Oryctolagus cuniculus: one gene and its partners. The protein of the gene in region 4 interacts with the protein of the main gene of each other region in a biochemical or structural test. Links are inferred from orthologs where the notes say so. Each region holds a gene or a part of one and is shown on either strand. Other genes may lie near its edges.

Region 1 (4,601 bases), on a different chromosome or scaffold from region 4:
GAAACCTGAGCTTGGAGATGGTTGCAGGCATGTCCAGAAAAAGTGGATCCTGGGTCCATGGCCAACACTGAGCAAGGAAGGAATCTAAGGTAAAATGGTGTGGAGCTGGGGATTAGGGACGCCCCTAGCACTGGATCAAGAGGGCATTGGTAGGAAAGGGGAAGGAAAAGGTTGTTTGGCTTGCCACTAACAGAAAGGAAGTGGCGAAGGTAGCACATCTCCAGCTCACCCAGCCAATTTCCCTCCCAGTCCTGGGCTCAACCCTCCATGAGGCAATAACAAGCCCAGGACTAGACTTCTCCTCAAATCTTGACTTAAATATAGACCCAGGACACAAATTTGACAAATGGAGTGCCTTTTGAACTATGTAAAATTATAGTGAACTTTGAGAAACACTTAATTTTTAACAATTCGAAGTGACATTTTGGTGACGCATTTTGAGCTCCTGCTGAAAAAAATCAGATGTATTTCATTAACACCAGAACTAAGAATCCACCACTCAATGATGCAGAAATTAAAGATGAAACGCTTTTGGCAGTCATAGTGTTTTTCCTTATTTGAGCCTCAGTTAAATGAGTTAACATTTACTCACTAGATTCACTATGTGTAAGATAATAATAAATTAAGATTTCATAACTTGATTGCTTAATACTAAATCTCCAACCACAGATTATAAAATGCCAATACACATAGATTTCAAAGCAAACTGAAAAGAGAAAAGCCTTCTCTACAACTAAATATCAAGGAGTAAATATACAACACAGGCTACTTAAAAATCCTTCTCGGAGCTGGCTGAGTAAATTTTATGTTTCTTGTTGCCTCTGTGGTTTATAAATCACAAAAGGAAAAAAATAAGTTCTTACTTCTGTCTTTGTTCAGATCTTACACATGTACTTTACAGAGGAGCTTGTCTATCATAATGTGATGGTATTATGAATGATTATGTTTTATGATTGTATTATGCTCTCCATATCTAAATTCTTAGGAAAGAGAAATATCAAGTAAAGACATAACTTGCAAACATCAAGAGAAAGGAAAATTCAACTTATAATCATGTTTACAATTCTGACAATATTGTTAGTAAAAAACATGGTCTATGACTACTATACTGGTTGCTCAAAAGTGTTAATTAAATTTTGTCATTTAAAATTAAATTAATTCAAAACTTCAGTTCAATTCACAGTCATCCTAAGAATTATCCCAATATCCTCTGCAGGTTTTTGTGTCATTTAGCTAATCACAGGGACTTTTAGAACTGGCTTCCTTGTTATTCTTCTTGCCAATGATATATTTCATTCCCTCCTCTACAAGTTGCTATTATAATTATCAAATGATTACCACAAAAATATAATATTGTCTATATTAGATTTTATTGAAAGCTATTTGTTTAAATAACAGAGGGTATTTGGATCTATGTGGCTTTGTCAAATGTTCTGAAGACATTCTTCTTCATAGTCCTTGCAGAAAACATTTTTCTTTCCTCATTTTTCATCTTTTTTAAATCAATGGCAAGTTTTAATTTGCTTGGTCAGGAAAGAAGTCTTTTGATGTTCAACAGCTGTATTTCAGTGGCACACACACATACACACACACACATACAAACATGTATATATATATAACTGAATTTTCATCTTTATAGTTATCCAAATCAACAAATAACAAGATGTAATTTGGTCCAAGGATTTTTGAATCATCCAGGTCTTTTAAATGAACGCCATGATGTTCTATAGAATTTATTTCCATAAATTTGTCTAGTTCTGGGCTTATCAGTAGGATGGTTATGCCTGGTTATTATTTCTTCCTTCCCTGATTTATGTCTCCACTTTTATTCCTGAATTCAGAAGATAATTGTCATGAATTCTTTCATCCACTAGTAATGTATTTTAACTTACTTTGAGTTACTTCAAATGCTCTTCAAAGTTTTATAATTATAATAATAGCAGGATGGGAATCTACTGATAAGTATGAAAAATGTAATCTTGTATTCAGCAGGCCAAGATTTCATGAGGGAAAAATATATGCTAACAGGACAATAAAACTTAACAGTAACCACACTTGGCTGTCAGGGATGTGGCCATTAGTTTTTTTCTTTGCTTGTTTCTCTTCTCCCAAAGGATAAAAACAAGAGCATAGCAAATATAAAGGAAAAAAATCTATAGCCATATTAAGTTTAGATCCCAATATGTGCATTTAATGTATCTGCTTCGTTAAGAATGCTAGAACATGTAGGTGAACGAGGAAACTCTTAAGCCAAAAAATGACCAGGAGTTTTTGTTTGCCAGTTGGACTGACTTTGAAAACCCAAATTTGCCCATTATTACCCATGCTTTCAAGCAACCCAATATCCACCACTCCATTCACATATGCAGATGCCTTCCAACAAGTGGATCTCAGACCTGGTCTCCCACCCCACCCCCATTTAAAGGGCTGCATGCTTATATCTTGGTTTATAAAAAACACAGGTGAGAATCTCTGAGGCCAGACATATATTCACTTGGTCTATCTCATATCAGTGACTCTTGAAGTACAAACACCATACTCTATATCTTTCGGTTCACTTAAAATATCCATTAATTAAAGGCAATAGTTTCACTCATGAAAATGAATCAAATGAGCAAATCTCTATATAAATCCATCTCTCACTTGCCCCGTGAGTCCAGAAAAGAGATTTAACTTCCTCCCACTTGGTTTTATCCTTATTAATTCCTGAATGGGTATACTGGGCTGTGGAGAAGGTCATTTCCTAGTCTTGTTTCCATAATAACTAGAGTTATTCTCTCCGATCAACAAGAACAGCAGTCAAGTTTTACAGAAACACCACTTCTGAGAAAAATCAATGTGAGGACAAAAGCATCACTTGAACCATTGTGTCTTTGTACCAGCTCTTCTCTAGGATAAAACTCTAATTGATTTTTCTATTTTAGTTCCCTTTCTCCTAAAATACTAAGTAAAAACCATGTTAGATAAATAATTGGCACAGTTCATAAACCTATCATTATTGCCTTAGTCCACAGAAAAGATTTTAAAGGTAAAATGCTTATTAGTAATTGAAGTATTTTGGAAAAATAGTTCTCAATATTTAAAAAATGTTGTGGCTCATTTAATGTTAAACTCTTCTGAAAAACTGTGAACATATGATAGTGAATGTATTTATCATGTAGGGTCCACCTTAAATCTTTTTGGCAAATACTCTGGGTTGAAAATACTTAAATTATGTCAAAGTAATGCTTTTTAACTGTCTATATTTTGATTATAAAAGATTGTTTTCTGATTTCTAAGAGAATCACAGTGCACTGATATTAAATATTAAGAAATTATGATGCAGCCTTGAAATCAATGGAATAGTAAGGAATTACTTCCTTGTCTCCTACAGTTTCTCCCATGCCATCACAACCAATCCTTGAAAAGCTGTTGAATCAAAATAAAAATGAACTTAGTCTTCTTACCTGGAACCCTCTTTGCCCAGTTGATCATGTGAACTAGCTCTCTGTCTGCCAAGTTGGTCAGTAGGCCCATCATCGAGGCCTCACTGAAGGGTCTGGTAGGGTCGTACTCAGAATAGATGATGGGGGGCTCAGCTTCCAACAAGGCACTGACCATCTGATCGGCCGTCAGAGACAAGGCTGGGCTATTCTTCTTAGTGTGCTTGATCAACAGAGGGCTTGGCCAGAGGTTGGCAGCCCTCATGTCTCCAGGGGGCCCTGTTTCATTCCTGCCTTCCCCATCATCTCTCTGGCGCTTGTGTTTCAACATTCTCCCTCCTCTTCGGTCTTTCCGTATACCTGAAAACATGAATGAAAATATTAGTTTCGCTTTTTTTCCACAGAAACTTTTATACAAAAACCAACTTCAAAGATAATATCTTTTTATTTCACTTAAATAAATGCTTAAGGTTTAACAACTGGCTCTCCAAAAGAAAAAAAAAAGGAGTTTGGATTTGTAGCTTTTGCCAGTCTCCATGGTGTAAATATTATCACCATAACAAACTTCAGGACACTTCTCTGGAGTCAGGTAGCGTAGAAAACTCCTGAAATTTAGTAGCAGGTTTGGTGAACCATTAGAATAGAATCTGGCTCTGACATACCAGTGTGTGTGTGTGTGTGTGTGTGTGTGTTTAATAGATGCTATAAAATAAAATTATAATAGTTATTATTGGGGGGTGGCGCTGTGGCACAGTGGGTTAACGCCCTGGCCTGAGGTGCTGGCATTCCATATGGACGCCGGTTCAAGACCCAGCTGCTCCACTTCTGATCCAGCTCTCTGCTATTCCCTAGGAAAGCAGTAGAAGATGGCCTAAGTCCTTGGGCCCCTGCACCCACTTGGGAAACCCAGAAGAAGCTCCTGGCTCCTGGCTTCAGATTGGCGCAGCTCCAGCCATTGCGACCAATTAGGGAGTGGCCCAGTGGATGGAAGACCGACCTCCCTCTCTCCCTCCCTCCCTCTCTCTCTGCCTCTCATCTCTATGTGTAACTCTGACTTACAAATAAATAAATCTTTAAAAAAAGAAAAAAAAGTTATTTTTGACATACAACTATCAGACTACTTCTATAAATCAGTATCGTTTAAGTAGTAAATTAAAAGGACTTTTTTCAATAATTAGG
Region 2 (5,220 bases), on a different chromosome or scaffold from region 4:
AACACCTCACTTCTGTGATAATAAATAAAGAAGTGAAAGTCCTCATGGAACTTGAGTCCTTTACCAAAGTGGAAGGGGGGGGCTCACTACAGCTGGGAAGAAAAGTACTTCAGGATATCTGGGTTTTAAATAAGCCTAACTTTTGAAATTGTATTTTAAATGGCAAAGTCTCATAGCCATAGATTTAATAGGAGACACACATACACACATATATCCCATTCTACACTTTGGCACTGGAAAGTCGAGGGAGAGATAGCAGGAGTTCCCAGGAAGAGTGGTGAGCCCTGCGAACATGAATGTGTTTATCTTCCACCTTCTCATATATTTTACATGCTCCTCCTGTAATGAGGAGGGCACGATTGCTAACTCCAGAGTTAGGAATAACAGGCAAAGATAAAGTTTATAGCACAAATGCCCTGTCTCTCCCTCACACACCCATGCTCATAAAGCTAACAACTTACTTTATTAAACATGTATTTATATTCAATCGCGTGTAAGTCTCAGCATGAATACAGACAGGCCAGCTGCTTGGTCCCAGACACTTGTGTGACCATTTCTTTATTTCAGGATTCCTCTCCCCCACCCTCACCCCAATTTCAACTCAACAGGACAGGCAAGAAATGATAAAATGTGTCAAACTTCAATGAAACGTCTCCTACTGTATATGCTTAGGTAAATTTAAGGTGCTTTCTGAAACATCCACTTCCCCTTCTCTCCGCACCCCCCCTCCCCTCTCAGCAAACGTGTGGAAACTGATACTCACTTTCCAGGTTTTCCGCAAAGCTGCTCGCACAGGAGACAATAGGTGCGGGGCGTGGGGACCGAGTGTGCTCGGCAGAGAAAGGGTTAATGGCCCTTGTGTTACAGTTTGCATCTGTTACATCTTTTATAGCCCCCTGTTTAAACTAATCCTGGAGGCACAGCATCTTCCCAACCTCCACCGAGTTTCAGGATTCTCCTCCTCTGCTGCCTGCCTCCGAGTCCCCTTTCTCCAAGTTTTGACAGTTTCAGCTGAAAACATGCAGCGCCTCTCTCGATTTTTAGGTACAAAAGTTTCGAAGCCAGAAAGGATACGATCATTTAGGACAGCTTAAAAGTCTTGCCGTGCTGGTTGGACTTTCTCTTTCCTTTCTTGGGGGGGGGGGGGGGGGAGAAAAAGCAACATTTCTGCTGGAACTATTTATGGGAACCAGCGTGGGGGAGTATGTGTGCGAGTGAGGTGGGGGCAAATACTTAAGCAAATATTGTCAAAGTGGCGGGGTGGGGGGGGGAGGGACGGTGTCCAAAGAGGCTTATAATTATATTTCTTATTGCGGCGGAGAATGGGAAATCTTAATTTGGGGGCAGAGGGCTGGGGGAGGAAGAGACGGTGCCTCGCTGAACTCTGAGAGGAGAGGGAAGGGGAGGGGGCGCGGGGCGAGTGGGCTTCCTATAATTACTATTATCAATTTGCCCGAGTGTTCTTCATCCAGGGGCTGTTTCGCGTTGTTTGTTTGTTTCTTTCTTTCCTCTCGGGAAATGGGGCGGCGGGGGGCGGGGGGGTGGCGGTGGCGGTGGCGGTGGCGGTGGTGGCGGCGGTGGCGGTGGTGGTGGTGGCGGTGGGAGAGAATGAGGAAAGATGAGAGCGAAAGAAAGCCTCGCCTCACCCCAAGTTCCCGAGCCGGGCTGAGCACTTTTCGGAGCAAAGGGTCCGCCTAGCCCTGGGTCGGGCAGTCTTACTGTACCGCCGTGTGCATTCCCTCATACGGTCAGGAGTTATGACTCATTTCGAAGATGTAATTCTTGTCTCTGTGATCCCCTCGCGGGTGCAACACACCAAACAGTAACAAACACAAAGCGCCGCAGGGCCACGGCTGGGGGCGGGGGGCGGGGAGGGGGCCGCCGAAGTTTCGCTTTGGCGTTGGGGGGCGCGGATGGGTGCTCGCCGGGGCCCTGGCCCGGCTCCCCGGGGCGGCCCGCGCGCGTTTCAATGGGCGCGGGCGATGCCCACATTGTCGCTGTGTTTGGTTGCTAGATCGAGCCTGCGTGCTGCCGAAGCAGGGCGCCGAGTCCATGCGAACTGCCATCTGATCCGCTCTTATCAATGAAGCAGCCGATCATGGCGGATGGCCCCCGGTGCAAGAGGCGCAAACAAGCCAATCCCAGGAGGAAAAACGGTAAGAAGCGGCCCGAACCAAACTTTTCCGGGCCACTCCGCGGCTCCAGACCCAGGGAGAAGGAGGGGGAAAGGGAAAAGGAACCGAGGCGGCGGCGGCGGCGGCGGCTGCGCCCGGGGCTCGCGGGCGAGCCTCCCTCCGCGGCCGGCGCCGGAGCCCGGCGCGCGCGCGCGGCGGCCGGACCCGGGGGGAGTTGGGGAAGTGCGGGGCAAAGTGAGCGTCGGGCGCCCGGGGGGCTCCGAGCGCCGGGGTCCGGCCGCAGTCCCGCGCCCCCAGCCCCGCGCCCCTTCGCGCTCCCGCCTCCGCCCTCCCTCCGCCTCCGCCTCCCGCTCCGCTCGCGCTCGGCCGGCCCGCTGGGTCCCCGGCCCGGCTGCGGGAGTGTCCGGCGAGGGCAGGGCGGGGGCTTGGGCGCCAGGTCGCGCAGGATCCCGGGGCGGAGGCGAGGGTGGCAGCGGGACCGCAAGGGCGGAAGAGAGGACCCGGGGCTTCGTCTTAGTGAGGCTTAAAGTTTCTTGCCGGAGTCGCCCGGCCGCCTCTCCGTGCGCCAAGTAACGGTCCGCGGGCAGCGGGGCCCGGTCCGGCGCGCCCGGACCCCAGGGTGGGGTGGGAGGGACTCGGCCGGCCCTGCTCGGGGTCCGGGGTCGGTGCGGGTCGGGCACGGTGTGGGGGGGGCTCCTCTCCCGCAGGCGCTGGTCCCCGCGCTGGGGGCTGGGGGAGTCGCAGGGCGCTGCGAGACTTTTTCCGGGCAGTCTGTACATGGCCAGGAGGAGCCCGTTATCCAGGCTGAGTCAGGAAGGAGGAAGGCGATGGGGGTGCGAAGGGGACACACAGACACACACTGGGGGTGGGAGATGCAAGGCGGGTGACAGTTTAGTAGGTCCCTCGTGGAGCGAGCCAGAGAAGCTACGAGAGAGCGAGAGAGAGAGCGAGCGAGCGAGAGAGACCCCCCTAGGTATTACCCCAAACAAAATCGTGGGAATAAAAGAGAAAAGTGATTGGCAAGAGCGCCGAAGGCGCCTGGGGGAGGGGAAAGGGCTGGGGACGAGCGAGGGTGCGGGGGGGGGGGGGGAAGCTGACGGAGGATACTGAGTTTAAAAAGAAAAAAAAAAACCAACCCCCCAAAACAAACACGAGAACCCGCGCCAGCCCAGACTCGGAAAGGAAACTTCTCGTTCCCTTCGCTCGCAGCCGGATCCCCCAGCGCGGGGCCGCGTAGACGCTCCCGAGCTGGGCGCGGGGTCGCAGCGCCCGCTCGGCCTCCCGGCCTCCTGCAATCCCAGCCCTCTCCTGGCCGGGCCCGCCGGGGCCCACTTGAAGCAACTTTCCTCAGGGGAAGACGAGGGTGCGCGCCCCGGCCTGGCCCCGCGCGGCGCAGCGCGGCGTGGGGAGGGGGCGACTGGGGGCGCAGAGCGGGTGCTGGAGGGAGAGGAACACAAAGACGGGAGAATTTTGATTAGAGACAAATGATGCTTCTCTCTCTCTCCCTTCTCTCTCTCTCTCTCTCTCTCTCTCTCTCTCTCTCGTGTGTGTGTGTGTGTGTGTGTCTTTTGCTTGTTGTGGTGGAGGTGTCGAGCCATATGGGGGAGTGATAGAGGAATTTTAGACAGAAACTGTTTGTTACGTTATCCTGCCTTTCCTCTTTGTGCTGTCTTTGATCTATTTGCTTGGCTTAGTATGACAAAAAAAAAAAAAAAAAGTACAATGATAGATTCGGAGCTGCTTCCCCAAGCTTTCAGTTCAGGCTGCTGCTTTTTAAGTGTGCATCCCTCTCTATCTTTTAATCTAATTTTTTTCTTCATTCTGGTGTCTGGCATTATTTAAGGTGGTCTTTCCACAGCAGACCTCCCCTTCTCCATCTCTGGGTAATTTAGTAGACATTAAAATTATACCTAATGTCCCCCTCTCCTCTCTCGTGTTTCCTCTGCTCCTTTTATTAAATGTTGGTTATTGATTTTCTAAAATCAATGTCTGTTGTGGGGTTTTCCCCCCTCTTACAAGTATCTAAAGCACGTTGCTGATCAACTGGATAACAAAAGCTTTGTGTCAAGGAGACATTTTTTTCTTATGTTAAACAGTCATTTTTAGAGAAAGAGAGAATGAGATTTAAAGCAAGGCTCCCAGAAGTGTTCTTTTGCAAGGAAGACTGTTCTCCCTGCCTTCTTTCCACCCCCTTCGGGATTTTGCCACCGATGACTGGTCTTGCTTCAGCAGTGTGGTGAGGCCAGAGCTCAGGACTGGGAAAGTAGAGGGATTCTGGCTTCCTGGGAACCCCTGGGGGGTGCCAGCTGAGTGGGAGGCCCGTCAGGGGGCTTTACTGGTAGAATGGTGTACCAGGGAGGTGCTCAGTCCTGGACTTGAGAAACCGTTTCTCCTGCACCCAGCCGTCAGGTTGGGAGAAGCTTCCACACTCCAAAGTGGAAAGTTGAATTGCACGTTTTAAGGCATTTATCCCAGCCCCTGCACACTGAACATCAAGCCCGGCTATTGCTTATAGCTATTCTAACTTTGACTATTACATGTCTTTATCCCCAAAGAATCTCTGGGAAAACATGCTGTAAATTGGTTACTTGTCAGTATTTTTCATTGGGTTTAATCGGACTGAGAAAGGTCCTGGCTTTGAGGAGCAGGTAGAAGAGTTTTTCCTCCCCCTTTTCATTTCTTTCTCATCAAACATGTATCCAATGCCTTTCCCTTTGGGAATTGCCAGGATTTATCTGAACTGAGTGGATTTTTCTTCCTTCTTGGATTCATGGAAAAGATGTCACTTTTGAGCTTGTGTCTTTGCTGATAACGCTAAATATGATGATGCTTATCAAAATCATATAGAAATTCCTGGAAAGGAATAATGGCAATAATCATCACAGAAGTAGAAGCTGCAAGGGAGAAAAAAGAGAGACGGTCATCCAGAAACCTACAATGGCACTTTATATAATTTTAATGAAGTCAACAGTGTATATATAGACTAAGGCGACAAGGAGATAAAACGTGGAAAGCAGTGTGTGAGTTTGAAAGGCTGGTCAAGAACATGGCTTAGAAACAATGCTCTGTGCAGTTATTAAAAAGC
Region 3 (5,181 bases), about 38 Mb from region 4:
ACTATGTTAACAATCTTAGATAAGAAAGGGATACATTATTTTCAAGTATCTAAAATTGTTAAAATATGAACTTTCACAGTAATCTAATTGAAACCTTTAACATCAGTGCATGGTAACTTTAAATTCCCTTCAGCCTTTTACACAGCATTCTTGATATACAACAATAGAATGTTAACCACAAAATCTAAACCCTAAGCCCAGACACCATTAGAGCCACAGAGACAATAGAGGCTAGCAGGTAGGAAGATTGGACTTTCTCAGAACTGGTAAGGTACTTTTCAGTGGATTGTGGGAGTGAACTGCAACACTTTCATCAGTCTAAAACATGTTTGATAAAACACATACATGTGCAAGTGTACATTAATATACACTTCCAAAAATCACAAAAATCAGATCAAAAGTACTGCCCTTAAGCCTTGTCTTGAAATGGAAGCCAATAGCCTTAACTCTAGAGAAATTCATAAGAAAAGGAGTTTTCTTTATGGGTGCTTTACTGAGAGTATTTTTATCAACTATCTTTAACAAGGATTAATATTTATAAAACCATATACTCTAAATTTTGGCATCAAGACAAAAAACGTTGCTGCCAGTGCTACAACTGCAGTGCCCTACTGGAATGAACAGTATGACCTGTATATGTGTTATGACTGCAGGGTCCAGAGTAAATTCAAAATGGCGCATATGGGGAGAAAACACAGGGTGAGAAGCTGTAGAGTGCAGGGCAGATGTTCAAGAAAAGCAACTGATGCTAGATGCCAATGTAGCCCTGGAGGTGCTGTTTTAACAGGAAAGAACTCTTTTCAAGATCCAAATTGAATGTTAGTTTTTTCATTTTTTGGAGATACAGAAAAGATGCATGAAGACAGAAGAGAAACTGAAAGAAATATTTGGAAGAACTTACAAAAAGCATTTTAAGGGTGGTGGAAGTTCAAACTTAAAGCTTAAACAGGTAACATTTACTAGGAAGTACACAAACTGTTACCAAGACTCCCCCATTCCCGACCCTGGGCTAAGTGTTCTACATGCATGATCTCATTTCCCATACATATTAACTGTTAAGATGGCTGCTTCTTATCATCAAAAGGAAAAGTTAGGCATGGACGCATTCAGGACTTGCCCAATTCACAAGTGGAAAGGCTGGCACTCTAACTCAGAGATTCAGGCCTCCAGCTTCTACACTCTTCATCTCTAGCCCTGCTGCTGTTATAAACAAGTCAAACTGCAACAACAAAAGTTTACTAATAAATGACTCTTAGTGGCCAAGGTTAAAAAAGAAAATTTAGAAATGTTTATTCTCAGAGATTTCACTACAATGCTCCAGTAATTATTTGTTTTGGAAAACTCTGAAGGAACCTGACCTGAAGCCTAAAAACAGAACCTCCTGCCATTCCTTTTGAATCTAAAAACCCCTATTATCCTTGTGCTCTCAGTAAGTCCAGCACCTACAACTAAGGAATCAACATGAAACTCCCTGTTAAATCTATTACAACCACACCACTCTGCTCTGATTTCTTTCAATTCTGATTTTCAGCTGCCTTGTCCTCCTCTAAAACTGGGAAAATTCCAAGAAGAAAATCTCCACCTCAATCTGTTACCTTTCAAAAACTTGAAGAAATATTAGTCAGGAAAGGGCATTTTTAATTAACATCATCCAAAAGTTGCTGAGTAATCACTATTTACTGTTTAACTTAAAATTTCAGTTATATTAAGAATCTCCATATTAAGTGTTACGACTACATTCGATCCCAGGTGGTTAAGTTTTCAAATGAGAAAATTTTGAAAATAACAATGGGAATGGGGAAAACCAAAGAATTCATTTAGCGCTGGGGCTGGTGCGCAGTAGTTGCTAATTTATTCACTCACTTATTTTACAGTGGCTTCTGGTATTAACTGAAGAATAGCAAAGAAGAAATCAGTAAAGTATTACATATAAAAAGGAAGTGACTGGTACACAACCTAATGCATTGTGGTAACTATGATTCAGTATATAATAAGGACGGAAAATTGGCACTACACAGAGGTAATCTGCCTTTGGTTTACAATATAGCAGCCTCTTCATTTCATCAAAAACACTGTAATCACTTCTGCAAAATTAATTGCAATTAATTCCTGGTTAACTCTTGAAATTAAATCTAGACTTGTGTGCTCATGTTTTAAATTGTGTAAGTGCTCTCTCCCCGGTGTATATAAACTGAGAATTTTACATTCTATTGAATAGGGACCAAGATAAAGAATCTACAAAACAGCAAGGATATAAACAAGTTTATCTTCCGCTCATACTGATTAGAGAAGTTAATCTCTCCCATAAGAGTGGAAGGACTTAACAGTAAAGCCAGCCTACGTTACTACTCCTACTATATAAATCCTCAATTCCTTAAAATAATTTCCTCAACGGTGAAAATACCAAAGTGGAGAAAATAGGGAGGGGGGTACTGTAAATACCACGGGTTCCACCATTCTTAATCTTTCTATAATGTACCCCTCTTACACTTCACGCTGTTCAATAAACTTGCTTTAAGTCCCAACACAATCTGGATATGTGCTGATGGTTTCCTTCAAATATATTAAAATATCAGGAAAACGAGACAGTTCTGAAAAAAAAAAAATCCTCCAACACTTTAGTGTTGCATTTCGTTTGCTCCGGTCATCTACTTCGCTTTTCAACCTCACTGACACTGTCTGCCTAAATCGAAGCCGCCCGTTACATTTTCACCAAGATATTTTCGGGAATGAATGAGGCACGGATTCCTGCTCATCGTCTGGGCTCCCTGGATCCCAAGTCTCCACTTCCCAAGTTCCCGCTACAGCCTGGCGATGTGCCCCCCAATTCCCGTTACTCCGACTCCCAAGTCTGGGCAAGTTTTTCCAGCCGATTAAAACAACAAAACGAAAAACAAAACCTGCACGTGCAAACTAAAAAGTTAGCATCCGAAGGCCGCCGCGGCCAATCCCCCCACCACGGCACAAAGGCAGCGACACCCGCCGCGGCGGGACCGCCGCAAGGGCCAGCCCAGCCGCGGCCGCCGGGGCCCCGCACCCGCCGGCGAGCCGCGGCCAGCGTGCGGGGCGCCCGGCCCGCGCCTTCCCCGCCACCGGGAGGGAGCGGAAGCTCCGGGTGCGAGCGGCGGCGCCGAGCTGCGGGCTCGGCTTCCAGGCTGGGGCGAAGTCCCCTCCGGACGGGGCCGCGCCGCAAGGCTGGGGCTCCGCGGCGGGCGCGGGGGGCGGCGCGAGGACCCCCGCAGCCCCGGCTGGGGGCGGCGGCGGCGGCGGCGTGCAGACCCCCGGCCCCCTGGAAGCACTTTCGAGGCGTCTCCCACCCCCCACGACAAGATGGCGACGTGGACAGCGGGGGAGCCCGGCCGGCGAGGTTGGGGGAAAGAGAGGGGAGGGGAGAGGAGGCAGAAACAACAAAAAAAAAGGCCGGGCGACCCCCGCCCGCCCAGCGACCCACCCCGGGAGCGCCGCGGCCCGGCGGGCGGGCGGGCGGGGAAGGGGCTTACTTTTTCTTGTCGTTCGCGCCGCCGGCGCCCTCCATGGCGATTCGGTCTCCGCGATGCCTTCCCGGCCGGCGGCCCCCAGGCTCGCTCCGGCCTAAGCGCCGGCTCCCTGCACACGCGGAGAGAGCAGAGCAAGTCCGGGTGGGGGCGGCGGCGGGGGAGGGGTGCGAGGCGGGAAGCTCCTCGCAGAGCAGAGCGGGGCGGCGAGCGCGGAGTCCGGCGCGAGCCTCCGCGCAGGCTGCTTGTCACGGCCCGGCCCGACGCGCTGGGCCCACTCGGCAGCGAGGACGGTCCTCGCGTCCCCTCAGACGAGGCGGCTCTGCGCTCGGCGGAGCTGAGGCAGCGGGCAGGGGGCGGGCAAGGGCGGAGGCGCGCCCGGCCGCGCGGGGAGGGGAGGGGCGGGGCGGGAGCGCGCGCCCCCGCCCCTCGCCTGCCCGCCGAGCCCAGCGCGCGCGCGCGCGCCCCCGCAGGCCCGCCTCACCTGAGGGGGAGGCGGGCTGCTCGGGAGCCAATGGCGAGCGACGCAGGCGGCCAGTGCCCACCCCAGCCCACGTCGCTCTCAGCCAATCCGGAGGCGCTCAGCTGAGGCACAGCTGGGACGCGCCGCGGCGCTCACGTGCCCGTCTGTGTGCGGCCGGGGCGGAGAGAAAGGCGTTGGGGGGTGCGTCTGCGCCGGGACTAGGGGGCACCCAGCGCCTGCCGCTGGGGACGGCGGCGGCGGGCTTGCGGGAGGCGCTGCTGAGGGGAGTTGGCGGCTGCCCGGGCCCGAGGTTGCATCACGTTTTCCCGCTCCCGCGCTCCCCTCAGGCGGCGTAGCCGAGTTCCCTGTGGGAAAGCGCAGCCCTGGCGGCTTGGGCGCGAGCCCCCCGGGTCTCCCCGCTCGGACGCGTTGCGGCGCGGCCTTCCTGCCAGGCTGCCCGCGCTCTGCCGCACGGCACGGGGGACCCCGCGGGGCCCCTGAGGCGTTCTGTCGCGAACTTGTTTAAGTTAATGCCAGGGAAAACCTCACAGACCCGTTGTTGCACGCCTCTCTCCGAGGAAGGAAGGTGTGAAGTTACTGTAGAAACGGCTTTCAGAAGCGAGAATATATAAACCTGCATTTCAGGGAGGGTCGGAAAAATGGCTTTAGGCACACTTTTCTTTGTGCTTTCTTAGCGCTTTTGCAAGACGATCTTGCGTGGATTCAGAAGAGTCTCCTTGAGTTGCGTTCGCGGTGTAGACCGAGTCCGGAACCCAGGCTGCCTCCGGGGCATGGGCCAGAGCCCGCCGGGTTGGAAGGAACCGGGCACGACGGTGCTGGCTAGCACTGCCTGTTTGCTGACAGGACTGCGAGTTACGGAACAAAACTTAAGCACTTTTTTGTCTTTAGAACCATACATTTCAAGCCTCTCAAGTCTTTAAAAAAAAAAAAAACATATTTTGAGCTCCACAAAGAGCCACTGCGTATCCCTCCCCGGTGGACATCAGGGTATTTTACTGCACCTTTGCCTGGTTGTCACAGTCTAACTCTGCGCTGGTTGTTGCGTGATGTGGATATCTGCCTGTGGAGGATTTCAAGTGTGTGAATCACCAGCCCGGCTAACACAGCGTCTGACCCTGCTAGGAGAAGCCACTTGAACTGGTCAGTAGACCCATAAGGATTGATGCTAATGCTATTTTTGTTTTTTCAGATTGACAGCACTAA
Region 4 (4,601 bases):
AGCACCCTCCTGACCAGCACGCAAGCAGCCGAGCCCAGGCCCTCGGGTCAGGGCGTCGCCACGCAGTTCTCCCCAGGTGGGAGCTGGCGTGGGTTTCACGGTGGACGTGGCTGCCCAGGCTCTGCACCAGGCCTGCAGCTCAGGAAGAGACCAAGCAGTGAGCCCAGCAGGCAAGGATGCTGCCGGGGACGGGGCTGGGGCCGGGGTCCCCAGGCTGGCGAGGGCGGGCCCTGTGCACAGGGACTTGAGGGAACCCTTCACCGGCCACTCTGGGCCATGGTGCAGCATCCCAGCCCTGCTGCACAGCCAACACACCGCAAGCAGCCAGCCCACGAGAGCCAGGTCCCGGCCACGTGCACAGAAACAGGAGGCGGAAGTGCTGGAGGAGGGAGCTGGAGACCAGAGGGACGAGGCCCTAGACCCTCGAGCCCAGTCCCCTGGTGCCAGCCAAGGTGCCCCAGGCCCTTCCAGGCTCCACAGCTGCCCAACGAGACACAGGATGGCAGGTGATGGCTCAAGTACTGGGGTCCCTCCCGGCACCTACAGGTGCTTGGGGAGCGACCCACCCACCAGCACCTCACTCCCTGTCTCCTCGTTTCTTAGGGAGACAAACTCCTGCCATGCAGGACAGTCCAGGGCCACACTCTGCCCCGGCTCCTGCCGCGGGCCCCACCCTGCGCCCTACCTTCCTTCAGCAGGTCAGTGATGTCGGCCTGGTACCGGTTTCCCACTCGAATCTCTCCTTTGTCCGCCAGGAGGGTCTTCTGCTGGGGGTCGTAGACCAGCGAGTAGAAGAAGAAATCCTGAAACAGCACACACAGGAGCCCCTGCTTGGTCTGTGGGGCCCACAGCTGGGAGCCCCACCCTCGCCTGGGGAACTCTCTGCCCCCCGACACGGGGCAGGGTGTGGAGGGCGCGTCAGGCAAGAGATCCATGCACAAAGCAGGCGCAGGCACGGCACGGCACGGCACGGCAGCTGGGACGCCACCCCACACCCGGCTCAAGCCCAGCTTCCTGACGCACCCTGGGGCAGCAGTGATGGCTCAGGGAACTGGGTCCCACCCGCTGTGGGAGGCCTGGACACAGCACCCCCCATGGGAGGCCTGGACACAGCACCCCCCATGGGAGGCCTGGACTGAGCACCCCCGTGGGAGGCCTGGACACAGCACTCCCCATGGGAGGCCTGGACTGAGCACCCTCGGGTGAGGCCTGGACACAGCACCCCTGTGGGAGGCCTGGACACAGCACCCCCCGTGGGAGGCCTGGACACAGCACCCGTGGAAGGCCTGGACACAGCACCCCCGTGGGAGGCCTGGACACAGCACCCCCCATGGGAGGCCTGGACACAGCACTCCCCGTGGGAGGCCTGGACACAGCACCCCCCGTGGGAGGCCTGGACACAGCACCCCCGTGGGAGGCCTGGACTGAGCACCCCCGGGGGAGGCCTGGACACAGCACCCCCCGTGGGAGGCCTGGACACAGCACCCCCATTTGAGGCCTGGACACAGCACCCCCCGTGGAAGGCCTGGACACAGCACCCCCCGTGGGAGGCCTGGACACAGCACCCCCCGGGGGAGGCCTGGACACAGCACCCCCGTGGGAGGCCTGGACACAGCACCCCCGTGGGAGGCCTGGACACAGCACCCCCGGGGGAGGCCTGGACACAGCACCCCCATGGGAGGCCTGGACACAGCACCCCCGGGGGAGGCCTGGACACAGCACCCCCGTGGGAGGCCTGGACTGAGCTCCTGGCTCTCGCAGGCATCTAAGGAGTGAACCAGCAGACAGAACCAGTCCTGGCTGCCCCACCTCCGGTCCAGCTCCCTGCCAGACGAAGTCCCAGGCCCTGGCTTCGGCCTGACCCAGCCCTGGCTGTCGTGGCCATATGGGGAGTGAACCAGCAGATGGAAGACCTCTCTGTCTCTCTAACTCCACCTTTCAAATAAATCTTTTTTTTTTTTTTTAATTAAATAAAAGGAAGGAGGGAAGGCAAAGCAAGAAGCGCAGTAGTGACGGCGCAGGCGCAGGCGCAGGGTGTGCTCGGGCTGCAGGGTGCCAGTCAGCGGCTCGGGGAGGCCTGATGACGGCCCTCGCTGCACCACGCGTCCCCGCTCAGCAGAGTGCTGAGTCGCCGGGTGAGAAACACGGAGTCCACCTCGGCCTGGCCGCCCTGGAACGCCTGCAACATGACCTGACCTGGTGACGGCTGCTGAGGCCACCACGTCAGCCGTCCATGGCGCTGCCGCCGCCTCTGCGCTCTCCCTGCACGGCTGCCCCACGCGAGGGCAGGGCTCCCAGCACTCAGCACGCATGAGCCAGCACTCGGACCTGCCCGGGCTGTCCTGACACGCTGACACGGCCATCGCCCGCCGGCCCCCGTTCACTGTCCTTGCTCCACGGATGCCTTTCTGCCACGTCCCCAGGGCACCCCACTGACCTCGCCTCTGGGCACGGCCGCCCACGCACGCGTGGTCCCTGCTGGCACTCCTGTTTCTAGGCTTTGCACGTGTCACCCCGGGCTGCTGGACACAAGGCCCTCAGGCCACACGTTCAGCCCAGACAGGCAGAGGCCTGGGAGAGGCTAAGCGCTGGGCCTGCCCCTTACCTGCCCCTAGGTGCTGACCCACACCCTGGCTACTCCAGACTCTGTGTGCCTCAGAAAACCGTGCTGGTGAACTGCCCTGGGGACACCGGGCCGTCACCCAGGAGGTGATGTGGCGAGCAATCCCCACGGCTCACAGGTGCTCCAGTCACCTGCCTCAGGTGCCAGCTGTCCCAGGTCAGCAGGGGTGCAGGCAGCCAGTGCAGATCTGTCCACTGCCTGGGACCAGCTGGGCCTCCTGCACTGACCACGCCCCCTCAGGGAGGGCCTGGCCTTCTGTGGGTGCTGCAGGTGGGCAGGGCTGGACCTGCCCAAGCCAGGCTGAGTCTCACCTCCCGCTCCAGGTAGGACTTGAGGGACTCCGTCTCGTTCAGCAGCGTCACACTGCACTTGCCCCTGTGGAAGAGGAGGATGTGAGGGGAGGGGCAGGTGTGGGGGGCGGGGGCAGGTGTGCACCTACGGGGGGGCAGGTGTGTACATGATGCGGGGAGGGGCAGGTGTGTACCTGACGGGGGGGCAGAGGCAGATGTGCACCTACAGGGGAGGCAGGGGCAGGTGTGTACCCGATGGGGGGAGCAGGTGTGCACCTGACAGGAGGCAGAGGCAGGTATGCACCTATGGGGGGTCGGGGGCAGGTGTGTACCTGATGGGGGGCAGGGGCAGGTGTATACCTGACAGGGGGGCAGGGGCAGGTGTGTACCTGACAGGGGGGGCAGAGGCAGGTGTGTACCTGATGGGGGGGGCAGGTGTGCACCTGACGGGGGGGGGCGGAGGCAGGTGTGTACCTGATGGGGGGGCAGCGGCAGGTGTGTACTTGATGGGGGGGGCAGCGGCAGGTGTGTACCTGACGGGGGGAGGGGCAGGTGTGCACCTGACGGGGGGGCAGGGGCAGGTGTGCACCTGACGGGGGGGAGGGGCAGGTGTGCACCTGATGTGGGTGGCAGGCAGCGACTCCAGCTGCCGAGACAGGAACAGCTCTCGGTGCCGCAACTGGTGCCTGAGCCGGTCGGGCAGCTCCTCCTCCACTTCCGGGCTCTCGGCCTCCTCCTCTGCTTCCCCTGTAGGACAAGAGCCCTCAGGACCGCCCTGCCCACGCAGGGTGGCCCCAGGCCCCTGCCCACCCCAAGGAGCCACAGTGCCCGTTCTTGTCCAAGCACCCTGAAGGCTGGGCTCTCCCCTGGGCATCAGGGGAAGGAGGTGGGGACAGGAGTCCGGCGCTGGCAGAGGAAGCAGCAGGAAAGGAGGAAAGAGGAGCAGCTGCCAGGCGGCTGGCACCGCGGTGAGCAGCAGGTGCCACGTGTCCCAGCCCCGTGGCCAGGCGGCCCCGCATGGCCGCAGCAGGGCCCGCTGCAGCTGCAGGACACCCTCGGGGCCGGGCTGCATGCAGGCGGCCTGCGCAGGTTCCGCCCGGGGCAGGCGCGAGGATGCGTCCTCACAGAGGGCAGCTCTTACCTTCCTCGCCGCTGTCGGCGCCCGGTCCGGCTTTATGGCAGACTGACAAGGCTATGCAACAGACAGACAGCGCCCAGGCGGCAGTGTCAGCGCCGCGGCCACTCTCTCCCTGCCCGGGCCTGACCCAGGGCTGCGTGGCCAGGGGGCAGGGCGGACACGGGGGCCACAGGCCTCCTAGTGGGCCCCAGCCCACCCCAGTGCCCCAGCCCCTTCGGGCAGAGCCCTGACAAGCTGTCACTAAGAACCCCTCCTGTACACACTCCCACCTCCCCAGCTGGGAGCGAGACCTCCAGAGCCTGCCCCTGGACACCCAGGCTGCTGGCCCCTGCCCTGCACTAAACAACAGAATGCCCTCTGGAGGCCACGGTCATGTCTCTGTCCCTCTCCCCAATCAGTGCAGCCTGATGGCTCTCTGCTGCCCCTAGTGGTGGCTGCAGGAAGTCCTAACACCTTGCCCAGCTCAGGGAAAAACAAGACTTTTGCCATTTCAATCAATCTGGATAATCTGGGGCTGTTCCAGGCAGGCCTGGCCCATACTCAGGAGCTC

What was found.
Region 1: the proteins of MTA1 (region 4) and ESR1 form a complex in vitro, tested with the Homo sapiens proteins (4 studies listed by BioGRID). The link is inferred for Oryctolagus cuniculus from reciprocal best matches to the Homo sapiens genes MTA1 and ESR1.
Region 2: the proteins of MTA1 (region 4) and ZEB2 form a complex in vitro, tested with the Homo sapiens proteins (2 studies listed by BioGRID and IntAct). The link is inferred for Oryctolagus cuniculus from reciprocal best matches to the Homo sapiens genes MTA1 and ZEB2.
Region 3: the proteins of MTA1 (region 4) and HIF1A form a complex in vitro, tested with the Homo sapiens proteins (2 studies listed by BioGRID). The link is inferred for Oryctolagus cuniculus from reciprocal best matches to the Homo sapiens genes MTA1 and HIF1A.

The regions. Positions count from the first base shown.
Region 1 is NC_091436.1:15,939,353-15,943,953, forward strand, and holds part of ESR1 (estrogen receptor), read right to left. Parts: intron 3,783-4,601; coding exon 3,447-3,782; intron 1-3,446.
Region 2 is NC_091434.1:97,912,107-97,917,326, forward strand, and holds the start of ZEB2 (zinc finger E-box-binding homeobox 2), read left to right. Parts: upstream 1-1,707; 5' UTR 1,708-1,757; coding exon 1,758-1,775; exon of another isoform or gene 1,776-1,822; intron 1,823-2,014; coding exon 2,015-2,156; intron 2,157-5,220. UniProt on the Homo sapiens protein: Transcriptional inhibitor that binds to DNA sequence 5'-CACCT-3' in different promoters. Represses transcription of E-cadherin. Represses expression of MEOX2.
Region 3 is NC_091451.1:8,816,016-8,821,196, forward strand, and holds the start of HIF1A (hypoxia-inducible factor 1-alpha), read right to left. Parts: upstream 3,635-5,181; 5' UTR 3,536-3,634; coding exon 3,501-3,535; intron 1-3,500.
Region 4 is NC_091451.1:47,288,818-47,293,418, reverse strand, and holds part of MTA1 (metastasis-associated protein MTA1), read right to left. Parts: intron 4,106-4,601; coding exon 4,055-4,105; intron 3,661-4,054; coding exon 3,531-3,660; intron 2,999-3,530; coding exon 2,935-2,998; intron 804-2,934; coding exon 686-803; intron 1-685. UniProt on the Homo sapiens protein: Transcriptional coregulator which can act as both a transcriptional corepressor and coactivator. Acts as a component of the histone deacetylase NuRD complex which participates in the remodeling of chromatin.